Linked DNA regions of Schizosaccharomyces pombe. The protein of the gene in region 1 binds, or shares a complex with, the protein of each later gene. Each region holds a gene or a part of one and is shown in the gene's direction. Other genes may lie near its edges. The genes, in order: acp1 and acp2.

Region 1 (4,096 bases):
AGTTAAAAATGGAGCAAGTGGAAGTTATGACTGTTCTCTTTATCTCCCATCGAAGAATCCATACATAGAGAAATGGGAAGGACTTCGAACAGGTTCAACACTTGGGAAAAAATTATTTCAAATAGAAAATGTAAGCCGAACATATTGTTATTAAGGTATTAATTATTAGGTTTATGATTCTAGTCTAGCTTCCTCGGTTATAAACGCTCTAGGAAAAAAGTCGAATAGGATTTTTTATAATTACCAAACCGGATACCTCTCAAAAATGCCAGCTGCATCCGCTCCTGAATTCATACAAGATACGCTTACTAAACTCTTTAGAACCTCAACCCAAAGGTCGGTAGATGAACTTCTTCATCCGCTTAGGAGCATTAAAAGTACGGCTGAATTGGAGTGCATGAAAGAAGCAGCCAATATAAGTTCAAATGTTTACAGGGAAATTATGCGGAAAAGATTTGAGAAAGAAGCTGAAATGTCCGCGGAATTCAATTATCGGTTTTGTATTGGAGGCTGTGATAGATCCGCATATGTGCCTGTAGTAGCAGGTGGAAAAGTAAGTAATCAATTCCTGAAAATGCTGAATGCTATTACTTTAAGCTTTATTAACAAAGAAGAATGGCTTGACTATCCATTACACAATTAATAATGATATATTCCGTCCTGACGAAATGGTTTTGGTAGACGCTGGCGGTGTAAGTGCCTTCAATTTTTTGTCAATTAACACTTGCTTAACAGGAATTCGGTGGTTATGTAACAGATATCTCGAGGACTTGGCCCATCAACGGCAAATTTAGTACTGTACAAAGGGATTTATATCAAGCAGTTCTGAATGTGCAAAAGAAATGTATTAAGTATTGTTGCACCAGTAATGGCTGGAGCTTGGCTGATATTCACTTTGAAAGTGTTAAATTAATGCATGAAGAATTGAAGCAGGTCGGCATTCATGGAACTAAACGGGTAAGTTTGCTACTTCGCAAAATATTCGTACTAACTTCCTTGGCTATAGGAGATTACAGATATATTGTATCCGCATTCAATTGGGCATGAGATTGGACTAGAGATTCACGATTGTTCTACGAATAATGGTTACCAACCGTTGCGCAAAAACCAAGTTGTAAGTTGAAGTTCTTTTCAGATTATTTGCTAAACGGGGTTTAGATTACCATAGAACCCGGACTATATGTTCCAGAAGAAGACGGATGGCCTCAATGGGCTCAAGGAATAGCTATTCGAATTGAAGATAGCGTAATCGTTGGTGATGACAAGCCGTTCGTATTAACTAGTGCTGCTCCAAAAGAAATTGAAGAAATTGAAGCTTTGAAAAAGTAGAGATTGTGTTACCTATTGACTAAGAATTAGGACTACATCTGACTATCGTAGAATAAAAGACATTATTTTTGGACTAAGTTTCTTAGAAGTAAGATTGAAGGGAAAAAAATCTATATATACTGTTAAATTTTAATCATTACACGAATTTTTTTTTAATATTTTATTGAAAAGTCAACGTCAAAAATAAACATTAGTTTAGAGAAACAAGAAACGTTTTCAAAATAGTTCTGGCATTCGAAGTGTATGATTCCTCTGACTTCGACAGTATTTGCTCAATTCCTTGAAGACTTGACTCGATTTCCACTTTTCAGGTGCTTCCCTTTCTCCTGAACACCAGTATAGACTAAAAATTGGACGTTAAAATAGCGCACATTAAGTATATCAAGTTCATTTACTTACATATCCCAATCGGGCTCATCTAATAATTGATCATACTCTCGCAGAAGAGATACTGGATATTTATCAATCTGATCTTTGGCGAAATTAGATAAAAGCAAATCCGTTTCCAATATTCCCCGTTTTCTAGATTGATATTTAAGTCTTGCCAACATTGCGTCTCTAGTCTCGTAAGAGCGATTCACCCTTTTTAAATCACCTTTGGTATGCTCGAAGCGAAGTTGAGGCATTCTATTCATACATCTTGCACTTCTTAGAAGCGTCGTGATATTAGATAAGTTTGTCTTCCTTAACATTGTTGATATTTTCAAATGAACAACTAAGCGATTAACCAGACGACCTCCGAGGCTATATTTACTTATATATGAATAAAAAGAAAAAAAAATTAGGTTATAGCTCCTTTTTTTGGAAGATTTGGTAGACTATACAACTCTTTGGTGATAGTTTTGCGGCATTGTCTTCACCATCCGTATTCGTTTCTTACCATTCACCATTGTCCGCACCACATTATAGAAATTTCGAAAGATGGAAAAGGAGGCAATTTACAAACTCATTAGAGAATCTCCTCCAGGAGAAGTTAATCAAGTAGTTCATGGTTTGTTAAAGTGCTGAATACCTCAACATTCTAATGCATATAATAGATATACGCGACATCGGTCTAAGTGATGAGGAAGCAATTCACGAACAACTGAAGCTTTATCATGAAGACTACAACTCTTCTGTCAGCATATCGGATGACGAAAAAGTAATTATTTCAGCTGATAATCGTCTAGAGGGCAATCGCTATTATGATCAAGTTTTACAGAAATCATTTACCATTAATTATGAAACTATGGTAAGGTTAAATTTTTCAAATCTTTTTTTTGTGATAATTGTTAAATAGCTAACAGTATTCATAGGAAGCTGAAAACGTTGAAGATTATACCGAAGCCATAAAAATTCCCGATGAAATAGTAAAGCAAATTAAAAAGGTTGCTTCGGATCACTATCTATCTGATGTAACATTTGGAATCATCAAAAAAAGCGATGAAGTGGAATCGTTTACAATTGTTTTGGTTTCTTCAAAGTATAATCCCAAGAACTATTGGAACGGTTCGTGGCGCTGTATATGCAATTACAACGTTTCGGAAAAGAAACTGGAAGGCAGGTCGCATATTCGTGTTCATTACTATGAAGACGGAAATGTTTGGTTGGATGCATCCCGTCCTATTTCTGCTACAGTCGAGGAGACCAGTAAGCTTTATGAAGTGTTGGCTCAAGTCGAAAATGGAATTCAACAGTCCTTCAACGTTGAACTTTCTTCACTTAATGACAAAAAGTTTAAAGAATTGCGTCGTCAACTTCCAGTCACTCGCCAGAAAATTAATTGGGAAAACGTTAGTGGCATCCGTATGAGAAATACTTGAAACACTTATATGTGTTTATAAATTTTGGAAATTTTTTTGCGACGATATTTTTTAAGACGGTGATTCAAGCTGTTTCCTTTTCCTTCTTCCTAAATACATATACATTGTCGCTCGATATACGACTAATAATTACTAGTCGTTTACTTTCTAAAACTTTACAAGAGCAACTCACACGCTCTTTTCTTAAACTCTTATAAGTTTTAGGAAATTATTTTTTTACGATCAATAATACAAGTTCTTCATCATTTTTTTACCGCTCGTCACCAGTAATTTAAGGGCGTATTACTTTTTGTGTGTAAGCATCAGTCGTGCTATTTATCACCAGAATATGCTCTGAGCATCTGACTTTCACCTCTGACTTTGTGATAATATAAATAAATAATGAGGCATTATTAAATCACAAATCTTGTATCTCTAATTAACATTGATTTCATGGTTCAAGCAGCAATTAAAGCTTGAACTTGTGTAGACAGTTTGAGATAATATCACTTCTAAAATTAAACCCAAAAGTAGGTATTCCAACTAACTTATCGTTTTCTTCCGACAAGACTGGAATAGTAAACCTGATATGGCCCGGAACTTGTATACAAAATTTAAGAAACTCTTCCTTACTCAAAAATCCCTTCAATGAATTTAGATCTTTGGAAAGCAACGGTCTAAGTATAAGTGTAGTCTGTGTATTTTTGCAACTGTACTTTATCCAAAACCTGTGATCCCATAAAACATAACGATCAGGATTTATGGTTATAGTTTTTTTTTTCAATTCAGCTTTACTAAATGGTTGTCTGGAAATTTGGAGTTGTAATTTAGTGTCGTCCTTTATAGAAGAGGAAGTGAGTAGACATTTAGCAATTGTTAGCTTTTTTCCATCAAAAACTGAATTACAAAGGCTTACAACAGAAGATCGTTTAATCTGTCTGCAACTTGTAGTCAATGTTAGACACCTTAAGAGCAATTCTTCCTTA
Region 2 (3,968 bases), 2.5 Mb from region 1:
ACAATTCTAACAAACTTCGACAAACCATATCAAAATCCTAAATCACCAGCAAAAAATCCAAATTAAGAGTTGGACTGCCCTCACTGCCTCACCCACTTCACCTGTCATAAACACAAACAAAACTACTTACAAAACAAAATTGCCACGTTGACGTATAAGCTACAGCAATCAACACAGCAACACTGAATATCAAATTGCTAATAGTACACAAAAACAAGAATGAACAAAATTAATGCCGGCTAACCTTCACAACACACGCGCGCATAAACTGCCTATTACACTAAAACAAGCAATATGCAATATTTACTTCGTTGTATAGCGCCAAACAATAACAGATAGCACAAATGACTTAAGATTTATAGCGACTTGGCTTCAAAGGGACAAAAAAGTAGTGCCCTATAACAAATTAACGATTAATAACGATATCGAACTCTTCCGCGCGACTAGCAATTTCAAGAGTCGAACCGAGGAAAAATGTGGTTTGCAGAGGGAAGGAGGAAACATGTTGGTATAAGTCACCGTTGTCCTCAGGGTTAGGGTTTTGATGTGAATCAACATTGCGGCGGATGAACGATTAGATGATAATTTCAATGGAGGGCGACTGACCAATTATCTTTCTCCTACGTCACCACTGGCTAAAGCTATCAGGCGCAACGCAAATCGCGGGGTGTTATTGTAAACAAACAAAACCAAAAAATTCGGCCAAACTATGTGTTCTGCAAGTAAACAACTTAATAATAATACAATTAAAAGATAAATGATCAACAATAATTGCAGGTTAACTTCTTACAAAATTTCGATAAAAGTTTCAAACCCACAAAGCACATTTTCTGTTTTAAGTGTTTGTAATCACACACTCACTGCTACAACAACAGTAATTACAGCCTTTGTCAAGACAATAAACAGATAGAAATACGGAAAAGTGCAATTATCCAATGTAATCCTCCAATGTACTGACAAAAAGGTTCAATCCAGTTTAAGCAAGGTTAGAAATGTTTGTTTACACAATTGGTTTCAGCCGTGCGCTAGTAGTCTTAGTATGGCCAAACATACGAAAAAAGTTAGAATGCAAGATTCGAACTCGGGATTTCAAGAACTCCGAACGGGACAAAGAATCTTATGGAACGGAATGGAATCATTTCTCGGTCATTTGAGAAACCGTCCTACAATCTGATTGGTTAAAAGGACCACACCATGAAAAAACCCATGTGATTTTTGCGAATCAGAAATCGGTGAGAGATGGGAGTTGAACGCTTGTACATAATTACGTGACAGTGGCAAAATCTAGGCTCTCCCAAAATTTTTGATCACAGTTAATGTTCCGCAAATTTTTAGAACGTTGAGTCGCGCTATTCCATTTGAAAACCGTTTAACAAAACAAATTAAATGTTCTTTATTTCTAAGGAACGCAGTTTGAAGATATACGAACACTAAATTCGTAAGTTGTCATACTGCATAACGACAGTAAAACGTTATTAAAGGTTGAGTGGATGCTAAAACAGAAGGTGAGATGTAGATAAAGATCAAAAAGCAGTTAAACAATGCATTTGTTAAGGTTATAAACATAAGAATAGATTTTAAAAGATCCATAGTTTAAATAAAATGAAAGACCATTGCTTAAAATGAAAGAAGGACGTTTGTTATTGACTTTTTTATGACTTTACATGGTTTGACTCGTAGAAAATCCAAACTTTAGATAGAAAGCGATTCAAGCATTGACTTTGGCATATAATTCTCCTTGTTTCTGTATTAAGGAATTTAACCGATATACAGAAAAGTTTTGTATTCGTTGCCAATACTAAATTTAACTTGAAAATGTTCAATATTGAAAAATAGACAGCTTATTGAAGTGACCAACAGTAGCATCTAATAAATTCTTGACTTTTTCCGCTTGAACAAAATGTGCTCTTCTTTTGATTATTTTTAACAGCTCATTGATATTACCAGTTTGATTATAAAGTAAGTTTGAGGTTGGTTTTTGCTACGTTGTCATCACCAGAGGGTTCATCGTTCAATGTTCACCGCCATATGTTGTTCACTTTCTAAACTTACGCAGAAAGCACCAGAGTACAAGTACCTCACCACCAGTCAGTCACCTCTACTATTTGTGTACTGCACCGTGAAGAATCTTCGTAATTTATGCGACGAATCTAAAGTTACTTCCTATAATCATTAAGGCCTCACTTTTATTCTGAGATCGCTATCCGGTTGTATTCTTTTGTTTAAAGCATTATATCATCAACTCACCATGAATGTAAGTATTACTGAAATTAATTACCTTGCCCAATTTTTTTGTTATATTTTTATTATATAGCCATCTGTAAATTCATCTTATCATTGAATGCATATTTCATCGATTTTCGTCAGTATTGCTCAGAGACTTTATGAATTTGCTTTTCACATTCTTTGTCGTTATCCTTCTTTACAATATCAGCTAACTTATTCTTTTAGTCTGAAGACGCTGCATTAGATTTACTCCGACGATTAAACCCAAAAGATATCTCTAAAAACCTAGACACAATTCTTTCCGTCGCTCCCGATTTAGCTGATGTCCTTCTCTCGTCTGTTGATCAGCCTCTAAAAGTAAATACTTGTTCTGAGTCAGGTAATCAATATTTGTTATGTGACTTTAACAGGGATGGAGATTCGTACCGCTCACCATGGAGCAATAAATATGATCCTCCTTTGGAGGATGGTTTAGTTTCTACTGATCGAGTTCGTAAATTAGAAGTTTCTTTGAATGAAGCAATCCGTGTCTATCTTGATCTTTATTACGAGGGCGGTGTTAGTAGCGTTTATCTTTGGGACCAAGACGATAGTTACGCAGGCGCCGTTCTCATAAAAAAGGGTATTTTTATTTTCTGTCAATTTCATTATATAATTCTAACTTCATTTAGCTTCTACTTCTAACTCAAGCGGATGGGATTCTATTCACGTGTTTGAATGTCTGCCTACCACGGAAACCAACGTTTATGATTACCGACTTACAAGTACTATTATCCTTTTCCTTTCATCTGGCTCGGAGGAACAGTCTGCCTTGCCTTCCAAAGCTCTTAACCTTTCAGGTCATTTGACTCGCCAAACTTCTCAACGATTACCAGCGGCAGATGATGACACTGAGATCGCTAATGTTGGCAAATTGGTTGAGGAAATGGAAACTCGGATGCGCAACTTCCTCCAGGATGTCTACTTTGGAAAAACTAAAGATATCATCAACCAGACTCGTTCCATTCAACCCGTTTCCGATGCCCAACCAAATGATTCGGCTTTGCGTTCAGTTTTAAACGATCTTTCCATTTAGGATTGCTTTTTGTTTTCTTTCCGTGATCTTCTCATAGTATTCGTTCCATCTTCAACGAAAATAGTCATAGAAAGATTGACTAATATAAATAAATACACCGATAATCTAATTTTTTTACAACAGTTTTAAAAGAAATTATTGAATTTAATTGTTCAGTAAAAAAGTTTATATAAATAGCATTAAAAAATATACGTTAAGAGACTTTATAAGAAAGCTGTTAATCGAAGATCATGTAAAAAAGGTCATGAAATAAGCTGATATGGTTTAGACGAGGAACGTGATCGAAGAGAGGAGTAATTTATTGGAATTGGAAGACGCGCCAGGTATAATCGGTGAAAAAGGTCAAAATCCATACCCATCTTGTAATGCCAATCTGGCTTTTGAGAAGTTAGCGGCTTGGTACGTAGCTGAACTAACCAGAAACCAGTATACTGCATTAACTCAAAAAGCTGGGATTGGGTAATTCCACGGGGAAACGAAAAAATGCCACAGTTCCATGAAATCCAAACTATGTTATACATTATATACAACATTTGTTCCGATGAAAATGAAGTCATGGGTTTTTGATCAGGCGAAGGGAGTTGAAGCGGGCATGGTAAGGGAATACTGGTATACTGAGCTAAAAATATACAAATAAAGGATAAAGTTAAAGCACAATCAGGATTTA

What was found.
Region 2: acp1 (region 1) and acp2 share a complex: the UniProt entries of both Schizosaccharomyces pombe proteins name them as parts of the F-actin capping complex.

What each region holds. Positions count from the first base shown.
Region 1 is NC_003424.3:4,583,005-4,587,100, forward strand, and holds acp1 (F-actin-capping protein alpha subunit), read left to right. Parts: upstream 1-2,210; 5' UTR 2,211-2,250; coding exon 2,251-2,320; intron 2,321-2,366; coding exon 2,367-2,560; intron 2,561-2,624; coding exon 2,625-3,131; 3' UTR 3,132-3,532; downstream 3,533-4,096. Other genes in the region: peptidase Icp55, read left to right, coding at 3-130, 170-553, 615-692, 736-957, 1,007-1,114, 1,159-1,329; succinate dehydrogenase subunit Emi5, read right to left, coding at 1,546-1,672, 1,729-2,021; til1 (tRNA(Ile)-lysidine synthetase family protein), read right to left, coding at 3,580-4,096. UniProt on the Schizosaccharomyces pombe protein: F-actin-capping proteins bind in a Ca(2+)-independent manner to the fast growing ends of actin filaments (barbed end) thereby blocking the exchange of subunits at these ends.
Region 2 is NC_003424.3:2,103,530-2,107,497, reverse strand, and holds acp2 (F-actin-capping protein beta subunit acp2), read left to right. Parts: upstream 1-2,064; 5' UTR 2,065-2,248; coding exon 2,249-2,254; exon of another isoform or gene 2,255-2,451; coding exon 2,452-2,848; intron 2,849-2,897; coding exon 2,898-3,301; 3' UTR 3,302-3,468; downstream 3,469-3,968. Other genes in the region: protein Atg14, read right to left, coding at 3,544-3,968. UniProt on the Schizosaccharomyces pombe protein: F-actin-capping proteins bind in a Ca(2+)-independent manner to the fast growing ends of actin filaments (barbed end) thereby blocking the exchange of subunits at these ends.